Saccharomyces cerevisiae S288C: one gene and its partners. The gene in region 3 interacts genetically with the main gene of each other region. Each region holds a gene or a part of one and is shown on either strand. Other genes may lie near its edges.

Region 1 (5,582 bases), on a different chromosome or scaffold from region 3:
TGAAGAAACGGTTAGAGTCTGTTCCAGAATTGTTCTTACATGATTTCAAGAAGAGGCCACGCTCCCAACTTGAGGTGATTAGAGAGAAAAAATTTACTGACATGCAAGTTCCCAAGGGACCAGTTTGTCCTCAAAGCACGATTCTACCATTACGAGAAAGAAAGAAGGTAAAATCACTACCAATTCAAAGAAAAAGTTTACGTAGGCCGACGCTGTCAAAGCCTGCAGTAGTACAATCTTTAGGGCATAAGACACATTCGGATCATATTATTGATAAAGTGTTTGTCTCTCGCCCGGCCCCAATTGTAATGCCTGTAAAAGCCCTTACTCCTATTAATCCGGTCTCCCTAATGCAAACACAGACACAAGATTGCTGTAGAAAAAATAAGTATGGCAAAAGCGGTAGTGAAATATTGTTTGACGAAATTCTATCAGCCTATGAAAACGTTTCTACAAGCGATTCTACTGCCCTAAATTCAGAAATTGACAGAATTATCGATATATGCGCTTCAAAACAAATAGCTAAAAAAAATGAGGCATTTCAGGTACCATATGTCGTCTGCCCTGACGACACAGAGACTTTGTTTTCGTCAACAACACCAAAGTTGAAACCTGTCAATTCTAACACATTAAACGATGTCATTTCTAGCCCAGAATACACCACGTCTGGATGCAGTACATACTCTGACCAATCGAATTCAGATGAGGAATTGTCCGAAGTAGAAAGTATAGTATGGAACACGAATAAGAGGACAATGAGATCATCCATTGTGTCTGAAAGCACTAGTGAGGAAGGCTATTGCACTGCTGCGGAGACTTTGCCCTCAACAGTATCAGTGGAAGATCTGGATATACATAACAAGCTTCCAAAAGTTGCACAAACATCATCGTGCAATACGCTTTTGAATAAACTCTCTATAAGAAAATTAAAAAAAGTAATTCTCGATCCGCCTAAAATAATGCATGTCATGACTTTTGACGATGACAGTGATGATGGAGATGACAACGATGACGAGGATAGGGCTTTGAATATTCTTCAAAAAAAAATTGACTGCATTGAAATAGCAAGTTGCAGCAGTAGCATTTACAGCGAATAAAAAAATTTATTCTAGGTTTCAAGTAAAATCATACGTATATAAGTAGAATAATGGCATGAGCGGTGACACATTGTGTATTTGCACCAGAGGTGGTCATCAATAGAAAAGTGTCACAATTTCAACGATAAATGGCCGCTTATGTCGCACCTTTTGTAGTATTACCCGCAAAGGATCATAATGAAGAACTACTATGGCTACATATAAACAGAGCAGTTAGATACAGTGCGTCTTATAAGGGCATTTTTGAGCATAAAGCACAACAGGTTGAACTCAAGAAAACTACATTTCACTATCAATGGCACCCACACAATTGGATATAAAAGTCAAGGCCTTGAAGAGGCTGACTAAGGAGGAAGGGTACTACCAACAAGAACTGAAAGATCAGGAAGCACATGTGGCAAAACTTAAAGAAGACAAGTCAGTTGACCCATATGACTTGAAGAAACAGGAGGAGGTCCTTGATGACACAAAAAGATTATTACCTACTTTATATGAGAAGATTAGAGAATTTAAAGAGGATTTAGAACAATTTCTAAAAACTTACCAGGGTACCGAAGATGTCAGTGATGCAAGATCCGCTATTACGTCTGCACAGGAATTACTCGATTCTAAATAATCTATAGATAACCTTTTTCTTACCTTTTCGCATTTATTTTGATGCAGGTTTTTATACTTTATTATGTACAAACCTGTTGCGGATGAATAATAAATCTCGCTAGAAAATGCACGGAATATTATATGCAAAAGTAGAAAAGTGGAAGACGGCTGTTGATACAGTGACGAGATATAAGAACATTTTACTCTATATTTAAAAAGAACTTTATTAATCTATTTAATTGAGTTAACACCTTTAATGCCATCGATATGGATTCTCGAGTTGCACTGGTACGAAAATACATAGCACCATCGGTGATAAAAAGCGATTCTATTCAATTGCACGGTTTAGTGAAGGCACCACTATTTAAAGCGTTGAATAGCCGTTACAAATTAGGTTCACTACAGATAGTACAGGATGTCGATTGGAATGCGAAGACAACACCATCCGATTCTCCAGAGCCTCTGGCCGCTACTCTAAACTCTAATCGATCCCTACCAATGACTAAGTTCCCCAAGCAGGAGATCTTGGAACAGGTAAAATTGGATACTAAGGTTGGCAAATGGAGGAAATTCATGACAGGTTGGTTTAGAATTGGATTGTATCTTTTAAAAAGCTATAAAACAGGAATTCAGAACACGTTAAAAGTATTCTGGGATACTCGAAACGAAGAGCAGAAATTCAGCATAAAAAACGGTGCATTGGCTAACTTAGTACGGGAAATAGAAATGCATGAAATCAATACAAGACTATCGTCTTCATCATTGCCTACAAGTTCTTCAGCAAAAGCCCCATTAAGGCCACTTTCAATCAATAGGAAAACACTGGTGGAACTGATCAGACGAGATCAAATCTGGAAATTACCTGTATTTTTCACCTTAGTATTCATATTTGAGGAGGTAAGTGTATTGATCTTTACCTTTTTTCCACGTGTCTGTCCGTACAATTGTTTAACTCCTGGTGGATACAAGAAGCTTTCCAACTCATATATCAAGGGAACAACAAGCACACAAGGTAACTACGGTCTGGGTCCCTTAGAGTTTACTAAGCAAGGTACAATTAAGTATGAGCCACCATATGCAGTTCCTATTGAGAATTTGTATAATTTTCTGACAAGCTTTCCTCAAAGTATGATATCAAACTGGAAACTGTATATTTATAAAAAGTTAAAATTACAGAAGCTACTTTGCAATGAGATAGAAAAAATTTACCAGTATCTGTTTATCGATGACTGGTTGCTGTTGCAGAGTATACTCAACACTGATGTTGAGAAAACTAAAATCGCGCTAAGTGATAGAGAATTGGTTAACTGTATACTTGAAAGAAAACTTTATCACATGGGCGATGACTTGAATGAGATGGTTAATGACACGTTAGGGAAAGAAATCTTACTGAAAAGATTGTTTCTTTATTGGACATTAAGATATAATGACACTATATCCTTAAACGGAAAGCATACATTCAGTGAGAAATGGGGTGTCAACAATATATCATTGTTAAAATATAATTCAGAATTGGTAGCTACGAAAGATATTCAATAGATGTAAATATTCATGACATTATCTATGCTGTACATATTGTTTAAAACAAAAACTCTTTTAAACTTTTCTAATTGCAAATTCAAACAATAATTCAGTGATGTTTCTTGCTTTTGGAGCAAAGGGCAATGTTACTCTATATTGTATGTATAATATGATAGATACTCTTCCGTATATATAGTATATAGATTTTCGTCAAGCGTTTCAATTGGAAAGTGAAAGAAAAAAATAAGAAAAAATAGAAAATACAATTAAATTAATCGAAAAAAGAAGTGAAAATAATTGAGTAGTTCGTATTAAACCTTGTAGGTCTCTAAGTGAGCATTTTCCTCCCTAACCAATGTATGGTGATGGCCAGGCGCTCTAATAACTTTATTTTTTGAATCCATGGTACAGGCAGCAATGGCGGCAAACCATTCATCATTAAAAATATCATCTAAGGTTGCTCTTTTCTTTGGATCTACTTGCAGTATACGGGACATGATAGGTCTTGAAGCATGTGGTAGTAGACGTAATAGACGGTATGGGCCATGAATAATTTTTTTATGGTGAGGTCCTCTGTGCTGTTGACTCGATTTATTATCGGAAGCGATACTATGGGCCTTGTCTTGATTTTGATGCTGGTGATGATGGTGTTGTTGTTGTTGTTGTTGTTGTTGTTGTTGTTGTTGTTGTTGTTGTTGTTGTTGTTGTTGTGGATTGTTTTGGGGAACCATATCAGGGTTAGCGTTGGCAGCAGTGTTGACGTTAGTATCAACTTTAGCGTTACAATCCGATTCATTGCTGCAGTCATTGTTAGCATTACAATCCGTTTTGTCATTGCAGTCACTGTTAGCCTTGCAATCCACTCTGCCGTTAGAGTCACCATTAGCATCGCAATCAGCGTCGGCATCGGCATCTACTTTCTTTGGGTTAGCTGAAACTACCGTGCTTTTATTCTCATTTTTGCTTATTTTAATATCGATGGTACTTTCCTTGTCATTATCTGGCGTGCTTTCTTTATCATTATTGCTATCATCTTCTTTATTTTCTTCGGTTTCTTCTTCCACAATGTCTGGTTTGTTATCGCTTTTACCCTGTATAGATGCTGGAGTATTTGGAACTTGATTTTGAACTGTTTTCAAGTTTGATTCATGAGCTGGTTGTTGCTGATTGATGGCGGAACAGTCACTGTGATTCAAAAACCTTTGACGCTTTTCTTTTCTTTCCTTCAGTAACTCTTCGTGATGCCTGGCAGATTCAACATAGTCGTGTTCTATATCATCCGGCATACAATATAATCTAAAATTATCGTCAGAATCTCTAGGGGCTTTCCATGGAAACCTTTTAAGCACCATACAACAATATATGATCCCAATAGACCATATATCGACGCACTGAGGATCATAAGATTTGGTGGAGGTAATCACTTCCGGCGCTAAGTAAGGGTCACTACCCACGATTCCATGAGCCATCGTTACGCCATCTTCAAAAGGATATCTGAACACAACAGCACTACCAAAATCAATTAATTTCAAAATACCCTGGGAAGTCATGACACAATTATCCAATTTCAAATCTCTATGTGCCAATCCCATAGAATGTAAATATTTAACACCTTCAGTCAATTGCTTCAAGCAACAGTTGATCTCGCCACGAGACATCTTGCCTGTCATAACAACAGCAAAAAAATCAATCGGACAGTACTCCATAACTTCATAGTATTTATTTTGTTTAGAATCAGAGAAAACGTCAACAGTTTCGATAACATTTGGGTGATGTAAAGTCGAACCAATACAAAATTCTGCGGTGCACTTCTTGGCATATTCTTTCACACTCTCATTCGGTTTCCTTGGTCTGAATTCTTTGACGGCAAAAGTAGCACCATCAGTTGGTCTCACAAGAACTTTAACGGACCCACCGGCACCGGAACCCAATAACTTACCCAATTTCCCGTATTTTTGAGCCAGAATACAATCATCGTGATATATATTAATATTATTGGACAAAGATAGGATAGAATCGGTACTTGGCGGTATAGCAGACTGGGTATGAGCATAGTGGTCTGTAAAGCCATGAGGATGCTGGGCACGATAGTGATTATTTAAATTAACTGTAGAAGTTGATTTTGAAGGTGGGGGGGAATGGGTGCTATGTTTCTTGGAACGAAGTTGAGACATAGATAGTTTTTTATTTACAGAAGGTCTGAAAAACCTTTTCAATTCTGCCATGGAGTGGGTTTGTTTTGGAGAGGCGGGAGAAGTATAGTCATGGAGCCCATGAGAAATATTATGGTGGTGGTTTGTTTCATAGTTATTATTGTAGTTGTTTGTTGAGATACTGGTTGCATTAGAATGGCTATGGGTGTTGTTA
Region 2 (5,039 bases), on a different chromosome or scaffold from region 3:
CTAATAGAGTCCAAGGTAGTCACACCGAACAATTTCTTTGGGTTGTAAACACCCTTGTTTTTCAAGACTTGGGCGACAATTGGAACGGTAGAATTGACTGGGTTGGAAATGACCAGAATGGCAGCATTGGGAGCGGATTCGGCGGTTGCTGCTGCCAAATCGCGAACGATGCTTGCGTTGATGGCGAACAAGTCATCACGTGTCATACCAGGCTTTCTGGGCACACCAGCAGGAATTAAAACCATGTCTGTGTCCTTTAAAGCGTTGTTCAATCCGTCTGGCTCTTCTGGAGTAAACCCCTTGACCACGGAGTTTGTTGGAATATGAGACAAATCGGTGGCAACACCTTTTGCGCCCTTTAGGTCGTACAGTCTTAAGTCCGTGACTTTATGGTTAAGCTTTAGAAGCAAAGACAATGGTTGTCCAATACCACCGCCTGCACCCAAAACAGTCACTTTATAAGGGTTGGCAACTGTAGAGGAAAACGCACGTTTAGCTACTCTTGACAACATTGTATATGGTATCCTTCCTTTTCCTTTTGTTTTTTTTCTTCCTTTCCGTAGATGTCCACGTATAATATATTGTATATCTATATGTGTATTCGTTATCTTAAGTGGAGGAATACAGTACAAACACCCAATGCGTGCTAACACTTCTTTTTAAAGCGCAAGCTATATATATTGTAATATCCGCCATTGTATTATGGCAACTTTTTTTTGTATTTTTCTGGGAATCCGCTTGGCGCGTGATTGAGCCAATGAACGCTGAGTGAATGCCGAGAAGGGGGGGAGAAGCTGGCAGGAAGGCCCAACCGCCAGGTCCCTTGTACCTCTCCGGCGCCGAGGGTCGCACAAACTGCTAGTGCCTACTCTAGTTGTTGAATAAGAAATTGATTAATTAAATTGAGGGATTTTGTATTAGTGAATTATAATTTATCTATGTTTCTTATGTAGTGTTATTAGCGTAATCATTATTCGATGTCGAGACTGCTGCCCAGGTACATGCGGATTTGGCGGGGAGTGGCCGGTAGCACCCTGCAGCGCACGGGGAAGGCGGCGTTCTGCGTTTCGCGAGCCCGGCGGTCGTATGCCTGTAGACGGTGGCAGCCGCCGAAGGCATAATATAGCGTCTGTCCCTTGACTCGCACGCCCAGCACGTCCACGGGCGGCAGTTCCCCGGCTGAGGCAGCCGCCTCAGCCTGTTCTAGAGAGCATGTCTTGCTAGCGGTGGGAATGCCCTTCATTGTGGCCACCATTGCGTCGATCTTTTGAGGATCCAACACAGGCGCTAGGGGGCGTCTGATCTCTGAGAGAGGAATTTCTGTTGGTTTTACACTGTTGCTTTGTAGTGACATATTGTTCTTTTTTTACTTGGTTTTGTAGTTTTTTTTTTCAGTAAGAAAAGTATATATAGCTCATTGATGGTAGATATTGTGGTTTATATACAACACCTCTTGACATGTATTGCATCGCATCCTTACCCAACAGGGCTACTGTAATGACTAAAAATAATGGCGACTTCTGGGCCGGCCTTCTAAAAAAAAGGGACCCGCAACGGGTAACGGCATATTTTTTTCGAAATCAAAGTTCCAGCTTTTCGATGTTTGTAAGCCTTCTAAGACAGAAAGATGTAGTATAAATGATGTAGCTTACTAATCAGGGAAAAAGCAATCGCTAGTATTGCAGAGGCCAAAGGCTTAAGCATCACATTTCGGTAGTAGTAAATAGTTTGTTAGTTCACGTGCTTTTCATTCGTCTCTATTTTACATATTATGATGTCTTCAGACCAACAGGGGAAATGCCCCGTAGATGAGGAAACCAAAAAGTTATGGCTACGAGAACATGGCAACGAAGCGCATCCTGGTGCTACTGCCCCAGGCAATCAACTAGAGTGCTCTGCAAACCCACAAGATAACGATAAAACGCCTGAATATCACACCACGGTGGATCTCTCTCAGTCCAGAGAGGTTTCCACCATACCAAGGACGAATTCTGACAGAAACTGGATATACCCGTCGGAGAAACAATTTTACGAGGCAATGATGAAAAAAAATTGGGATCCGAACTCAGATGACATGAAGGTGGTTGTGCCTTTACATAACTCCATCAATGAGCGGGTTTGGAACTACATTAAAAGCTGGGAAGACAAGCAGGGTGGTGAAGCGTGTGGCGGTATCAAATTAACAAATTTTAAAGGTGATTCCAAAAAACTGACACCAAGGGCCTGGTTCAGGTCCCGTATCTTGCACCTGGCCAAACCTTTTGATAGACATGATTGGCAGATAGATAGATGCGGTAAAACCGTCGACTACGTAATCGATTTCTATTCCACCGATCTGAACGATGCAAACTCGCAGCAACAACCACTTATTTATCTCGATGTTAGACCAAAATTAAACAGTTTTGAGGGCTTTAGATTACGGTTCTGGAAATCTTTAGGCTTTTGAATTACTACAACTATTCCTGTAAATAAAAACATACCCTCCCTAGTTTCCACATACATATTTATTTAATCTTATTTAGGCACTCAATTTAGAAACTAGGGAATGAAAAAGCAGTAATCTTCTTTTAAGGAATAAACAAAAAAAAAAAAAATAAAACATAAAACATAACACAAAATACTCTTTTCTAATGCATTTAAACTTCGGTTTTCACGTCTTCCTCATCCTCTTCGTCTTCCTCGTCATTGCTCTCATCGGATGCTGTTTCATTTAGAGCTTCTTCCTCCTCCTCGTCCTCCTCATCCTCTTCGTCATCCTCATCATCGTCGTCCTCATTGTCAGCACCCTCTTGTTCTTCTTGTTCTTGCTCTTTATCACCAGTTTCCTCGTCCCTAGCTTTCCGTATTTCATTGATTCTCCTCCTAACGATCTCTACAATATCTGTCCATTCTCTCATACCACCCATACCAATATCTCCGCATATTAATACCTTTTCCACCGGTTTCAAAACTTGGATGAACGGATAGTCTTGCACTAAACTCGTCAGGTGTTTCTTTGTCATAGGATTGATATACATGAATGTATTCATTGCAGGCGCAATCAACACTGGGGTCAGTGGTGACCAATCTCTCATCACAGAAGTTAGCAAATTGTTACATATACCATTGGCCAGTTTAGCAAGTGTGTTAGCTGACAAAGGCGCAATCAGGAAAATATCAGCCCATTTTCTTAATTCATGGTGCAATATCAAGTTCAGACTCAAGCTAGTATCATTCTTATTCACAGCGTCGAATACCCAAGCGTCTTCCTCCCTCCAAATTTTAACGTGTGTTGACATTTTGAGCCCTTTCAAAAAATGCTCAGCGGGTTTTGTGACAATCAACTGAATAGAGATTTTCTCAGGCCCATATATCTTGAAAAGTTTATCAATAATTAGAGGTACTTTTATTGTGGCAACTGAGCCCGTCGCACCAATGAGAATGTGGAATTTCTTGTCGTCTTCCTTCTGAAAGAACTCTGTGAAGGGTACACGAGGCCCTGTGGGTGCAGTGATAACTTCCTTGTTTTTATGTGTGGAGTTATTAGCCGATAATGGCGCCGCCTTTGCAGTGATAGGTTTAGAAGCGTTTGACTTGGGATTGAAGTAGATAAAATCACCTGGCATATGAACGATAGAATTTTTTTCCATCGAAGGTGAATCTACTTCATCTTCGCTATTGCTCGTACCACTCGATACCGAATGTTTCCTGATATCAGTACCATCATTAGTAGTGTTCTCCTTAAATATTGCATTCGCTATCCTCTCCTTTTCGTCTATCAGTTGCTGTCTTTCAGTTTGCTTTTTTTGCACTTGCTCCTGAATTTGCTTCACCTCTTCTTGCTGTTTTGCTCGTTGATTTTGCTCCTGCAGTTGTGCCTTTTGCTGCTCTTCTTGTTGTTGATTTTGCTGCAGTTGTTCCTGCTGCTGCTGCTGCTTTCCAGGTTTATTGGATATCGAATATCTATGATACGGCAACCTTTCCACCTCGGGCACCGTAAATGAAACAGCAGAAGGTAATGAAGGTGAAAACCTTTTTTGCTGGCCATTTGTATTAGCTGGCATACTGGTGTTGATCTGTATTTCATGGCCATCTTTGTTCCTTTCACTATTTTGCTTCAGATTGGCAAAAGAGAAATCCCTCAAATTTGTGCTATAATCGTTTTTGTAAATATTCCTCCTATTAGAGTTGGATTTTGATTGATCTTCATGACTATCAGATCTTTCGAAATTTGATTCATCGTGAATACTTTTTCTTCTCTCCTTGTTGGTCAAAATTGAAACCGGCACTTGTGTTGTAGGCAAGGATGAAATTAAGTTAACTCCCTGCTTACCGTTCATATTCTGATCTGAGTTCACTTTTTCATCCGTCATCACACCTAATAACTCTTTGCTGGTCCTTTAGACTTTTATTTAAATATGCTAACTAAGTGTTACTTTACTGTTCTTTCTCTTTTTCTGCTTTTTGTTCTCTCATCTACGAAAGTTCGGTGCGAAATTTTACGTGATTCATTTTCTTACAGAAAAGTTCACATGTTTAACAGTATAAGCGTATGGACCTAGTTATATTTCTTCAGTACATAGCATGCATAATGAGAATATTCACATCATAATTACCCAAAAGTGTCAAACGTACTGTCTAATTCTTTGTCGTTGTCATCGTTAGCGTCTTCTGAAACGGTCACTTGAACGAAGAACATTTTGGCTTCATCATTCCCTCTATTGGCAATCGCGTACTCGTTGAATGCCGGTATTTGGAAAGTGGAACCTTTAACGCTCAAGAACTTGTTCTTACATACAGTTACTTCGACTATTCCCTGTATCACGTGGAACGTAATATATGTCCTAAATGAGTTGCTTAATTTCTTTTGTCCAGAAATAGCTGGTAGTTTTAATATGCCGCTAGCAAAATATTCTTTATGCTTATCGAACATTATCTCAAGGGCAAAATTCTCGTCCTTCGTGTCTTTTACTTGTTCAGTTTGCGACAAATTGGGCGCGAATGCAATAATTTCATCCTTAGTTTCCTCCTTAGTGTCGCTAATTTTCACATTAGCTTCC
Region 3 (5,911 bases):
TTAATGGCCAGTCCATTTCCCAACACAAATGGGCACACGAAAAGGAAAACACATTTTATTTTCCCTTCACCAAGAAATACAAAATGCCAAAGTACTCTTATAAGAAAAAAAGCGGCTGGTTGTTCAACGATCACGTGGAAGATATTATCCCAGAAGGTCATATTGCACATTATGATTTGAACAAATTGCACTCTACGTCAGAAGCAGCTGTCAATAAGGAGCATATTTTGATATTGACTCCAATGCAAACATTTCATCAACAATACTGGGACAATTTGCTGCAGCTAAATTACCCTCGGGAATTGATTGAATTGGGGTTCATTACACCAAGAACAGCCACTGGTGACTTGGCCTTAAAGAAATTGGAGAATGCTATTAAAAAGGTTCAAACGGACAAGAAAACTCAAAGATTTAGTAAAATTACTATTTTGCGACAGAATTCCCAGAGTTTTGATAAGTTGATGGAGAAGGAAAGACACGCTTTAGATGTTCAAAAGGAAAGACGTGCAGCAATGGCTTTGGCGCGCAATGAATTACTATTCTCCACCATAGGACCTCACACTTCTTGGGTGCTGTGGCTAGATGCCGATATTATAGAGACACCACCATCTTTAATTCAAGACATGACCAAACACAACAAAGCTATCTTAGCTGCAAACATTTATCAAAGATTTTACGATGAAGAGAAGAAGCAACCATCAATCAGACCATACGATTTCAACAACTGGCAAGAAAGTGACACCGGTTTAGAAATAGCCTCTCAGATGGGTGATGACGAGATTATTGTCGAGGGTTATGCAGAAATTGCCACTTATAGGCCATTAATGGCTCATTTCTACGATGCTAATGGCGTACCAGGTGAAGAGATGGCGCTGGATGGTGTTGGTGGAGGCTGTACTTTGGTCAAAGCAGAAGTTCACAGAGACGGTGCCATGTTCCCTAATTTCCCATTTTATCACTTGATTGAAACAGAAGGTTTTGCTAAGATGGCGAAGAGATTAAACTACGATGTATTTGGCTTACCAAACTATTTGGTTTATCACATAGAGGAAGAGAACCATTGAGCAACTGAGCAAAAAGCATACAGAAGCTATAGCGTTATTGAAAGATAATATTGTTGCGATTATTAGTTGAAAATAAACAAAACAAGATATATATTCATATATATATATATATAATTTACACATGTATATTAAAAAATGCCGAATAAAAAGTGCTACAACAACTAATTTCTGAGCTTGAGAATAAACCATTCACATTTTATTTCTTTTGGTGCTTCTTTATCATTTATAAATCGGTGGTCTTGACTTTTTATTCCTTTCTAGTCTAACAATCATCCATTCTATAGCGTCTTTAACACCTTCTCCAGTCAATGCGCTTATTGGTAAAACCCTACTATCTCTAGCGCTTATATGTTCCGCAATCTTATTAAATACTTCTTTTATATCTTGTACTTCCATTCTATCTTGTCTATCTTGTTTATTGGCCAGCATCAAGATGGGTACACCTTCAATTTCTTCATCCATTACAACTGACTGTAGGGTCGTGGAACATTCGTCTAATCGTTCTCTATCTGAACTATCCACAATGAAAATTATACCATGACATAGGGAATAGTATTCGGACCACATTGATCTCAGTGATTCTTGACCACCTACATCCCAAAACTTCAAGATCTGTTTACTGTCAACGGGTATTGTCGCCACATTTTGTCCTACCGTAGGCTGTATCTTTTCCAAGGCTTTGAACGCCAGAGAGTATTCCTTTTTCAATGTCTCCAAGAACGTCGTTTTGCCTGCATTGTCTAGACCTAATATTAGAATTGAATATTGTTCCTTTTTATTCCAATTATTGTAAAGTCCCTTGACTAAATGAAACATGTGTGCGGTGCGCTTTATATGCTTTATTCTCCTTCATCTACTTGATTAACACATCGATCTGAATTCGTTTTTTAATTTTCCGTTTACATTTGTCTGAAAAAGGTGTAAACATATTTCTTATACTAACACTCCCATAAAGTTCAAAGTAGAAAATAGGAGGTGGGGGAGGATACGTACATATGCAAGCTACATTGACGTATCTGCTCTTAAACATAAAATAAAAATGCAGTAGTATGTTAACTTATTTAATGGTGGGATATATGCTTCTAACTGAATATAACTGCTTAGCATTCAAACTCTAAAATAACAAAGTTTTCATCACCTAATAAATGAGAAATAGAATCCGTAGCTAAATCGGTCGAGTTCAACAAGACTTCTCTATCTTCATTTTTAATCAGTTTCCCACCGACCCAGTTAAGATTTTTCAAAAGATCCAAACCATTATTAATTAAATCATCTCTTAAAATATACAATCTCAATTTCATGTATTCGAATTTGAAGTTTTGGTTCAGGTTGGAAGTTAGCTCTAAAAGGGCAAGTAACCAATCTTTATTTATATAGGTACTGTGGTTATCATGAACGTTCCTACTATTCAGTAAAGATGGTAATACAACATGGAAATAGTTTTCATTAAGTTTACACCAAATCAGTTCCTGCGTAAATAGGGGAAGATACAGTATGAAATACTGCGAGCCTAGTTTTCTCCAATTGTAACCATCGTGGCTATTATTATTTTTATATTGCTTGGTATTTTCATTATAAATTAGTCTTTTTAACGTAGTTTTCATATCGTTTACAAGCTTATTTTTCAACAGCTTAGCAACAGACTTCTGATTGTTCCCCTTATTTTTTGACGGAACATTGTAATCTAATATGAATTGAGATTCCATGCATAAAATAACATCCCAGTAAAAATCGATGATATCAATCTCTGGTGGAACGTCTAGAGGGATGTCACGCGCACCAATCCTTAAATCCCCCACTAGCCAAACTATACGTAGAAAGTTTAGGCATTGGTGTGCACTTATTACTTTTTAGCAGTGAACTTACTGGAAAATGTAAAGAAATACCCAGATTTGATGGGTCCTCTATGAGCCTCATGAGTTCAGGACTCTGTAAAACGTTTATTATTTTTGTTTTCCTTTTCTGTATTACTTCATACATTTTCAAAGATCTTTTTACTTCTTTATGTTATCCTCACTATTGAAATACAACGTTACTAGGTCTTTTATCTTTCCATATTTTTATTCTCAATCACATACATATATAGTCATCGCCGATTATCTTTTCGTTTTTTAAGTGGCGCTCTCGTGAGACACGAGTTGTTCCTTCACAGGAAAAAAAAATATAAAAATAACCTTCAAGTTACATGTGATATTTATTCGAGAAATGTGGATGAGATTTGTTAAATGTACTTATAATGTGTACGAGTATACAAGACTAGAGGGATACTAAGCGTTCACCCAACCTTTTGTGCCCTTTAGTGAAGATAAGATAAGGTAAGATGCACGTACTGCTGAGCAAAAAAATAGCACGCTTTCTGTTGATTTCGTTTGTTTTCGTGCTTGCGCTAATGGTGACAATAAATCATCCAAAAACAAAGCAGATGTCTGAACAGTATGTTACACCATACCTTCCGAAATCTTTGCAACCTATTGCAAAAATTAGTGCAGAGGAACAAAGGCGTATACAAAGTGAACAGGAAGAAGCCGAATTGAAGCAATCTTTAGAGGGAGAGGCCATTAGAAATGCCACCGTGAATGCCATTAAGGAAAAGATCAAATCTTATGGTGGTAATGAAACGACGCTAGGGTTCATGGTGCCATCGTATATCAATCATAGAGGATCACCACCAAAGGCGTGCTTTGTCTCACTAATTACTGAAAGGGATTCCATGACCCAAATCTTACAATCTATTGATGAAGTGCAGGTGAAGTTTAACAAAAATTTTGCTTATCCTTGGGTTTTTATTAGTCAGGGGGAGCTTGACGGAATGAAGCAAGAAATGATTCGTCAAGCCATAACTGATTCTATGAATGGTGATCCTGAGTTAATTAATATTAAATTTGCTGAAATTCCTGCAGACGAATGGGTATACCCTGAATGGATTGATGAAAATAAAGCAGCAGAATCGCTAATTTCATTAGCAAATGTACCGGATGGTGATTCTAGAGCTGTAAGATATCAAGCTAGATATTTTGCAGGGTTTTTTTGGAGGCATCCAGTTCTGGATGAGTTTGATTGGTACTGGAGAGTAGACCCTGGTATTAAATTGTACTGTGATATTGATCATGACCTTTTTAGGTGGATGCAAGATGAAGGCAAAGTGTTTGGTTTCACATTGAGTATGAGTGAAGCTAAGGAAGCCAATGAGAAGATTTGGGATGTTACGAAAAAATTTGCAAAGGATTTTCCAAAGTTTATTTCCGAGAATAATTTCAAGTCATTTATTACAAAAAAGGACTCTGAAGATTTTAACAACTGTGAATTCACATCAAATTTTGAAATTGGTAATTTGAACTTTTATAGATCGCCAGCTTACAGGAAATTTTTTAATTACATCGACGAAGAGGGCGGTATTTTCTACTGGAAATGGTCTGATTCCATCATCCACACAATTGGGTTATCGATGCTGTTGCCAAAGGATAAAATACATTTTTTCGAAAATATAGGATTCCATTATGACAAGTACAATAACTGTCCCCTAAACGATGATATATGGAACCAATATAATTGTAACTGTGACCAGGGTAACGATTTCACGTTTAGAAGTGGTTCATGTGGCGGACATTACTTCGACATTATGAAGAAAGATAAGCCAGAAGGTTGGGATAGGTTACCATAAATCAAAACACTGATGTATAAGAACAATAATCTTCTACATATGAATATATATACATATGTATTTATTTATTTTATTTAATTTTTAATTAGGATCGCGAGAAAGAGAAAAACAAAACTAACTTATGATGGAACGTATCGAGAGGAGGTGAATATATATATATAAAATGACTAGGCTAGAAGATTCAGAGCTTCATGTATTGTCGTAGTTTTTTTGGTTTGACTTTTTTAATCAAATTTCAAATTTCAGTAAATAATTGGTTGGATATTACTATGCAAAATGCAACCGTATTTTAAAATAAAATTAAAAGAATCCAACTCATACAATGAAATGTTTTTTATATTAAACGTGCTTTTTTTTATTATTTTTTGTTCTTATTTTCCGGCTTTCGGAAGATGTAGAGTGGTCCGGTATATTAATGCTTGAACTAGGAAAAACTATGGATGGGGCGGCTCTTCATTCATGACAGTATCTGGAATTGAAATTGTGAATAAGTAAATCTTCAATTTCATTATCTGATTCTTCTTGAATTGCAGGGCCTGTACGATACCTTAAATTCTGATTCACACTCGGATTCGATAACGTAGTTTGGCCTTGCTCTTGCCAAATGTTAGATGAAGACGAAGAGACTGGAGAATAGGCATTAATGTTGGAGTTATTATAGCTATAGTTGATGTACGAAGAAGAAGACGAAGGGGGAGAAAAGAATTCAGTATATAGGGCCTCTGGACTTTTCTGAGGCGAATACATTAGGTATTGCGAGGAAAAGTAGTTTGCATTCGAAGCAGAGTGAGAGAATTCCGTTTGTGCAGACAGAGGAGGAGACGTGTAGGTAGAGAAAGAAGCTGATCTAGCATGGGATAAGTAGTTGTTTTGTGAAGGGGGAGTGATGTCAATAGGTTCTTTACTGTTCATCTTGAACCCATTTGGCAGCACATGAGCATTAACACACTTGTTACCGAATTTACAGTTACCCTTTGCGAAATACTTGCAAGGTAAATTATTCGCAGAACTGATAATATCTGGGGAATGGGAAAAGGGACAAGACGAGCCAGCTTGGCAATTGCCCATCTTAAAAAATTTGCATGGCACGTGTGAATAGTCCTTCTGCTGTTGAGAATTGTTCTTCGTTATCAGTAAATGTTCCATGATAATTTTTTGTTGACGTGATGAGAAAGGCAGTTGATTG
Region 4 (6,136 bases), on a different chromosome or scaffold from region 3:
TGGGGTACCCCAAGTATAGGTTTCAATGAAAGTATATGGAGATTCGTAGGCAGTTGTGGCTAGAGCAACATCACCCATTCTCTTCAAAATTTGTTTGTACAAAGTCTGAGTCCAAATGGCACCGGAAACTGCGGAACCGACAGCAGAACCAATTCTATAGAGGGTATAGTTTAAAGCTGTAACTGTCGCCATGTTTTCATGAGAGACGGCAGATTGTACAGAGACGGTAACTGGGTAAGTGAACAAAGTAGTGCCCACACCCCAGACACATAATGCACCAATAATACCTGAATGGGACTGACTTCCACCTCTAAAGTGGTACAATAAACCCATAGCCACCATCCATAGCGCGCATCCAAACATTATGAATGGTTTCAATCTCGTACATCTTGTTACAAGTAAAGCGAAAAATGGAGAGGCCACAGTAGAGACAAATGAAGATAATGTGGCAATTCTGGTTGCAGATTTAACGGATTCATTGACGGCAACAATCATAACCGTGTACAAATAATCAGCGGCCATATAGTAAATAAAATCAATCAGGAAAGAAATACCCATAGAAGACCATACAGCCCTATCTTTGACCAGCCTATATGGAAGAATTGGATCTCTAGCGAATCGATATTCCCAAATCCATAAGATAGGGATCAAAACAAAGCCAAGAACAAAGGGGCCGATCAATCTTGAATCATTCCAGGTAGTTTTGACCCCACCAGCCAAGGTCAGTGGGACCAAGATACAACCTAGGGAACAACCCATCAAAAGGACACCAACGACATCTAACATCCAAAATAATTGCTTTAAGATCTTAATAAAACCATGTTCTTGATAATAGGACTTCTGGCCCTTCAAAGCGTGCCATTCAGGAGTCTTTCTGGCCCTCCATTGCATGTGCAACATACACAAAACGATTGGAACACATGATAGGGGAAAGATGAAAGCCCACATACCTACATCCCAAGACCAGTTGACAACAGGATTGGCTCTGGAAGTGATATTACCAGCAATCCATGTGTTGATGATAAAAGGCCAAGTCGGGACAAATTGATACAGCAGTCTCCACTTTAAAGATGAAAAATCGGATAGGATAATCAAAAGAATAAGGATTACACCCACATAGCCAGCATTGTAGAAAATGGCACCTGCAGCGTATCTTTGAACATCATAAGCTTGTGATTGAATAATTGTACCCACAACATATAGGATGACAGCACTAATGAAAAGGTATAGTCTACCAAACACATCAGACAACCTAGCGTATATGATTTGCGAAGCGGCACTGACCACAGCATTAATGACGTTGATTGTAGACAGCAGAGAATGCTCACTATAGGATGATGTGGCGTAACCAGTGTAAATATAACGGATGTTACCGTCCAGTCCATAACCGTAGCCACATATGAAAGCACTCAAAAGTAAAATCGCTTGTAAGTACCATTTATTGTAAGCAGAGCCAATGATTTCAGTCTGCTGGATAATTAGGCTCCTGTTCTGTCTCAAGGCATTGTATTTTTCAGATAACTGAGGGAGACCATATGAGTCGGAGTTGGAATCGTTATGAGTCTCAGGATTCAACTCGTGTTCCATTCCCATGAAGACATGTTTCTTTTCCTCCTTAACAGGATCGCGAGAGTGAACAGACTCCATTAGTACGTTGCTATGCAGTGGCTTGAACTACTGTCCATATATTTTTAAGAAAGAAAACAAGAGATATAGTGAACGAAAGCAAAAAGAGAGCTATCGAATGTTTCCTCCCCTATATACAATTATTCCTGAAATCTTCAGTTCTATGCATCTTGCATTACTTCATGTAAACTGTACTCCGATTTGCTTGGCCTTTTTTTCTCTTTGACACTATTTTCCTAACGATATGTGCTTGTTATATCACACCTGCTTTTATGGGTGCATTTTGATAAATTTGCAATCCCAAACAGGAAAGAAGTGAAAAAGGCCAAGACATATGTGGCTTTCTAACAAATACAGGCACACAAATTTCGTAAGAGAACAAGTCCTAAAGATGAACGTTAATGATAATATACAATTGTCTTCTCATTTCTGTTGATGGATTTTCATTCGCAGGTGTATTTTTCCATCGCTTCGTGATAGAGCTGCCAGTACGCTTCATCGCGGTCGCTTACATGCGTGATATTTAGGGGATCTTTCATTGGCTTCCGATCAGATAATATGTATCATTAGTCAGCGGAAGTTACAGGTGGAAACCCTCCCCACCTTGATAGTTGTCTTGATTGTATAGGCCTGTAATCTATTACTATTATTCTATTGGAGTCCTGCTCGTTGTTCGTTCAAGGCGAATGTGCCTGCGATGAGTTGACTATGAAAAAGAAAATTTTTCAACTTGAACTTGACCATTCCAACAAAGAAGAAATGATGGAAGTAAAAAAGACTAAGGAATCAAGCTTGGTGAAGCTACCTCGTCATTTAATTAACGAACTTCTGCATGATCACCCAAACTGAGCTAGATAACTGCTTACAATGGGCTCAAAATAATGGAGCCTTCATCGATCCGAAAATCTCTTTTAGGATTACAGAGGATGCTGGTGTTAGTGCATTTGTAAACGAAAAATTCTCTCCCAAACCCGACCAAGCTTTGATTAGGGTACCCGAAACTCTGCTGATCACTTCCCAGCAAGCTTTATCAGAATTTTCCCAGGCTGCTAATGAAAGGAGTCTTTTGAATTCCGTGACACAGTTGTACTTGTCAAAGTTGAAATTTGGCACCGATGCAGTTCACCTGAAATCCTTTTACAAACCATATTTAGATGTGCTACCCTTGCACCTTCCACAACCATATTTTTGGTCTACTGATGAAGTCATGAATTTGCATGGTACAGACGTGTACTTAACTATGAGAGATACGCTGAACAAACTAGTAAAGGAGTGGAGGATGCTGTTCCAAGCTTTATCTATTGAACACTCTTCTCAAGATAAGCAGTTCTTGTCTTTATTCCAGGAGAATAAAGACTCTGCCGTAGTGCCGTTGGAACAGTTCTGCGCACACATCAATGGATGTAAACTAGAAGATTCGGAATGGAACTCGTTCGTGGCGTATCTTTGGTCGTACTGCATCTTTAATTCTAGGGCATTTCCTCGTGTCATTTTAGGCAGGGCCGGTACAGACCGCACCAATCTGAACGAAGGATTTTTGTATCCAATAGTAGATTTATTAAACCATAAAAACGATGTACCAGTAAGATGGGAGATGAATGAACAAAATGAACTTTGTTTCATGTCGCAGACTACCACATTTAGTGCACAGGATGAATTGTTTAATAATTATGGTAATATTTCTAATGAAAAATGTTTGTTAAACTACGGGTTTTGGGATTCCTCGAATAAGTTTGACTTCTCTAGGTTGACTTTAAAGCTACCATCCACCTTAGTTAGCGGTTTGCCCGTGGATTTTAACAAATCAGGTAATTTTGTTACTGACGATGGAGAAACTACCATTTTACAATTTAGTTTAAAAATTTCTGAACCATTACCACCGGTTCTACTAGCGTTATTTGCCTACCTAAGTAAATTAAAGTCTGAAGAAACTCCAACCGTAAGGAGCGTATTGGAAGGTATTGATCAATTAACATCTGTAGTATCCCAGAGATTGCTGTTTTATAAGAATTTTAAAATTAAAACTTCTTCGACTCAAAAATTACGCCCTCATGTTATTAAACTAATCAAACTATACTATCAAGATAACAAAAAAATTCTGAACGCCACTACTGAGAAATTGTCCGTTTTACAAAAAAAAATATATAGCAATAATAAGGAGTTTTCTCTGTCATTCAAGACAATTTTTAAAAACGACAAAATATTTGCCAATTCTCTCTTACTGGTATTTGGTGCTATAAATTACGAAGATTTGATCACAAAAGACTGTCTTAATGACGCATTGTTGCTCTGGATAGTCAAATTAATCAACGATAAAAGTAATAATCAGGGAGGTTTCATTAAACAAACCTTCAAAGAAGTTAGTGATTCAATTGTCATTGAAAAAGAAGATGTTATGGAGTTTTTGCCGTTCTATAAAAAATACTTCCCTAATTTATCGGAGAGAATTCCAGAAATTTATAGTGTCGGTGATTGGGGCATAAGACAGTTCATTGTGGCAGATACTGCGATTGATAGATTGGTTTGGATCAGGAAATCAAATAAAGAGCCTATATTTCTAATGAAGAAGGCATACGACTTACAGATTTAGCTTTGATCTGTAGCCTAAGTATAAAATTCTACGTATGTATATATTTACATGCAATTTTTTCTTTTTCCAATTCATGTTAATGTTCTTCATCATTTGATAATAGGCCAATGATATTATCTACTATCTTCTCCTTTTGAGGAGAAGCTGCTTTCACTTCCTCGTTGCTTTTCTCTTCGTATAAATACATGAATTTCGACTTGTCCAGCATTTTTTTATCAATACAATGCATGTGCCCATGAAGTTCTACCTCCGACAAATCTTTAACAAAATATGTCGTTATTTGTGTCATGAATTTCAGTAGGGTTTGAAATATTTCGGGTATGGCGTTCTTCTTATCCAGAATAACAATTTTGTAGTTTGCTGATAATGTTATTGGACGAAGCTGGATGGGCCTATTTACGCGGAACTTTTCGCCATATATTTCCTGTTCGAAGTATAAAAGTTGGTTGGCCAATTTCTTTAATCCGTTTGCAGATTGTAGCGATTGTTCATTCGCAAAACCAGGTTCTATTGTTGCATTTATTGACTCAGTGAAACCCACCAACTCCATTAAAGTTGGTCTTAAATCATCTTGCATAAACTTGTACAAGTTTGGCTGGAAAATTCTAATCATTTTCGATTTTGTCAGCACGGTTTGCAAAATTAATGTGATGTGTTCAAATCTTGATAAAGTCGTTTCATCATTTTGGAAAATAGAGAATTGGTTCCATTTCATTTCTGAAATTACCAGTGCGGAATATGTTTGTAGGTCATGAAGAAAAGAGTCGTATTTTGTCTTGTAGTTGATCAGAGAAGCTTGGTCCGTGGGTATTTTCATGGACTCGGTCTCTTGATATTGCTTCCATATATATGAGTCCCAAACATTCCAACTAAATTGAAAGGAAGGCGCATTATCGTTACCAGAGAAGGAACGGATGCTTTTCTTGTTACGTTGTAAAATGGTGAATATATTGTAGAGAATGAAATTTTTGCAAAATTCAGCCCTCAATTGCCGGATGGAGAAGTCGTTTGATAATATTGTAGCTCTTAAAATGTCTCCAGGGCACGTTCTGTCTTTGTTTGATTGTTTGCTCCACAATGTCTTATGGCTAACCGATCTTTCTAAAAGTTGCTTCAAAGTGACGACATTACCACCAGCGATTCGAGTTGTGGCACTGTTTGCATCCAGATAGAATGGTTTACCCTCTTCGTTCGCCAGTATCCGACCAGCGTTAGCCTTCTCAATGCGCTTTCGTTCATTCAAGGTGCAAAGTGGCGAAGCTATCTTGGTCTTCAATTTGTCTACCTCAGTAACGAAAAATTCTCTATGTTTATCTACAAAGTAAGGGAAAATACCAATTCCATCGAATTCCCCAATCATCGCCTCATCGGAAACCTGGAAAAGAGGCAAGGGCTTTGCATTAGCTGGGTTTACAAACATGGGTACCTCACCATTATTTTGTTCCAAGAGTCTATCGTAAGTGCTCTTCTTAACCCCGATTCCCCGACAAAAGTTTGAAAATATCGACTTAGGCCAAATTACACGCTGCAGTTTCAACTTATCATCTTTGCATCGTACCCTTATTAATTGTTGCCACTCGAAAGATGGCTTGAAGTCCTCATCCATTTCGCTGAACAACTTCTCGTAGAGACTTAAGGGGTGGTCAAACATAGGCGCAATCCGTTCCCAGTGTTGGATCCTCTTCTTCGAGGATTTTTGAGTTAGATCTGTTCTAACAATCTTGAATGCGTGTTCGCGAGGGGCGTTTATATCACGTAATAGCAGTTTTTGCAAGTCCGTGAGTGAAATATTATACAGTACTCCTTCAAGATCACAATATTCATAAGATAAGTTTGTCTTCTTAAACGCTTGCTTACAGCGAGGGAACACCTGATGTGTGATATTCTCCATGTTGAACTTATACCTGTAACGAGAGGAAC

Evidence for each region.
Region 1: mutations in KTR6 (region 3) and PNT1 together harm fitness more than expected from each alone (negative genetic interaction), as found in Saccharomyces cerevisiae (2 studies listed by BioGRID).
Region 2: mutations in KTR6 (region 3) and CYT2 together harm fitness more than expected from each alone (negative genetic interaction), as found in Saccharomyces cerevisiae (2 studies listed by BioGRID).
Region 4: mutations in KTR6 (region 3) and EFM1 together harm fitness more than expected from each alone (negative genetic interaction), as found in Saccharomyces cerevisiae (2 studies listed by BioGRID).

What each region holds. Positions count from the first base shown.
Region 1 is NC_001147.6:819,062-824,643, forward strand, and holds PNT1 (Pnt1p), read left to right. Parts: upstream 1-1,961; coding exon 1,962-3,233; downstream 3,234-5,582. Other genes in the region: DSE3 (Dse3p), read left to right, coding at 1-1,097; RBL2 (Rbl2p), read left to right, coding at 1,393-1,713; putative serine/threonine protein kinase HRK1, read right to left, coding at 3,527-5,582. UniProt on the Saccharomyces cerevisiae protein: Probably involved in mitochondrial export. Confers resistance to the anti-pneumocystis carinii drug pentamidine. May act by the removal of pentamidine, or its damage targets, from the matrix by an active-transport mechanism.
Region 2 is NC_001143.9:274,596-279,634, reverse strand, and holds CYT2 (cytochrome c1 heme lyase CYT2), read left to right. Parts: upstream 1-1,771; coding exon 1,772-2,446; downstream 2,447-5,039. Other genes in the region: malate dehydrogenase MDH1, read right to left, coding at 1-512; SRX1 (sulfiredoxin), read right to left, coding at 971-1,354; phosphopantothenoylcysteine decarboxylase complex subunit CAB3, read right to left, coding at 2,637-4,352; MIF2 (Mif2p), read right to left, coding at 4,592-5,039.
Region 3 is NC_001148.4:455,932-461,842, reverse strand, and holds KTR6 (putative mannosyltransferase), read left to right. Parts: upstream 1-3,384; coding exon 3,385-4,725; downstream 4,726-5,911. Other genes in the region: mannosyltransferase complex subunit MNN9, read left to right, coding at 1-1,064; Arf family GTPase ARL3, read right to left, coding at 1,284-1,880; LEE1 (Lee1p), read right to left, coding at 5,179-5,911. UniProt on the Saccharomyces cerevisiae protein: Glycosyltransferase that transfers an alpha-D-mannosyl residue from GDP-mannose into lipid-linked oligosaccharide, forming an alpha-(1->2)-D-mannosyl-D-mannose linkage. Required for addition of mannosylphosphate in yeast mannan.
Region 4 is NC_001140.6:19,325-25,460, forward strand, and holds EFM1 (protein-lysine N-methyltransferase), read left to right. Parts: upstream 1-2,458; coding exon 2,459-4,216; downstream 4,217-6,136. Other genes in the region: ARN1 (siderophore transporter), read right to left, coding at 1-1,647; CBP2 (Cbp2p), read right to left, coding at 4,293-6,136. UniProt on the Saccharomyces cerevisiae protein: S-adenosyl-L-methionine-dependent protein-lysine N-methyltransferase that monomethylates elongation factor 1-alpha (TEF1/TEF2) at 'Lys-30'.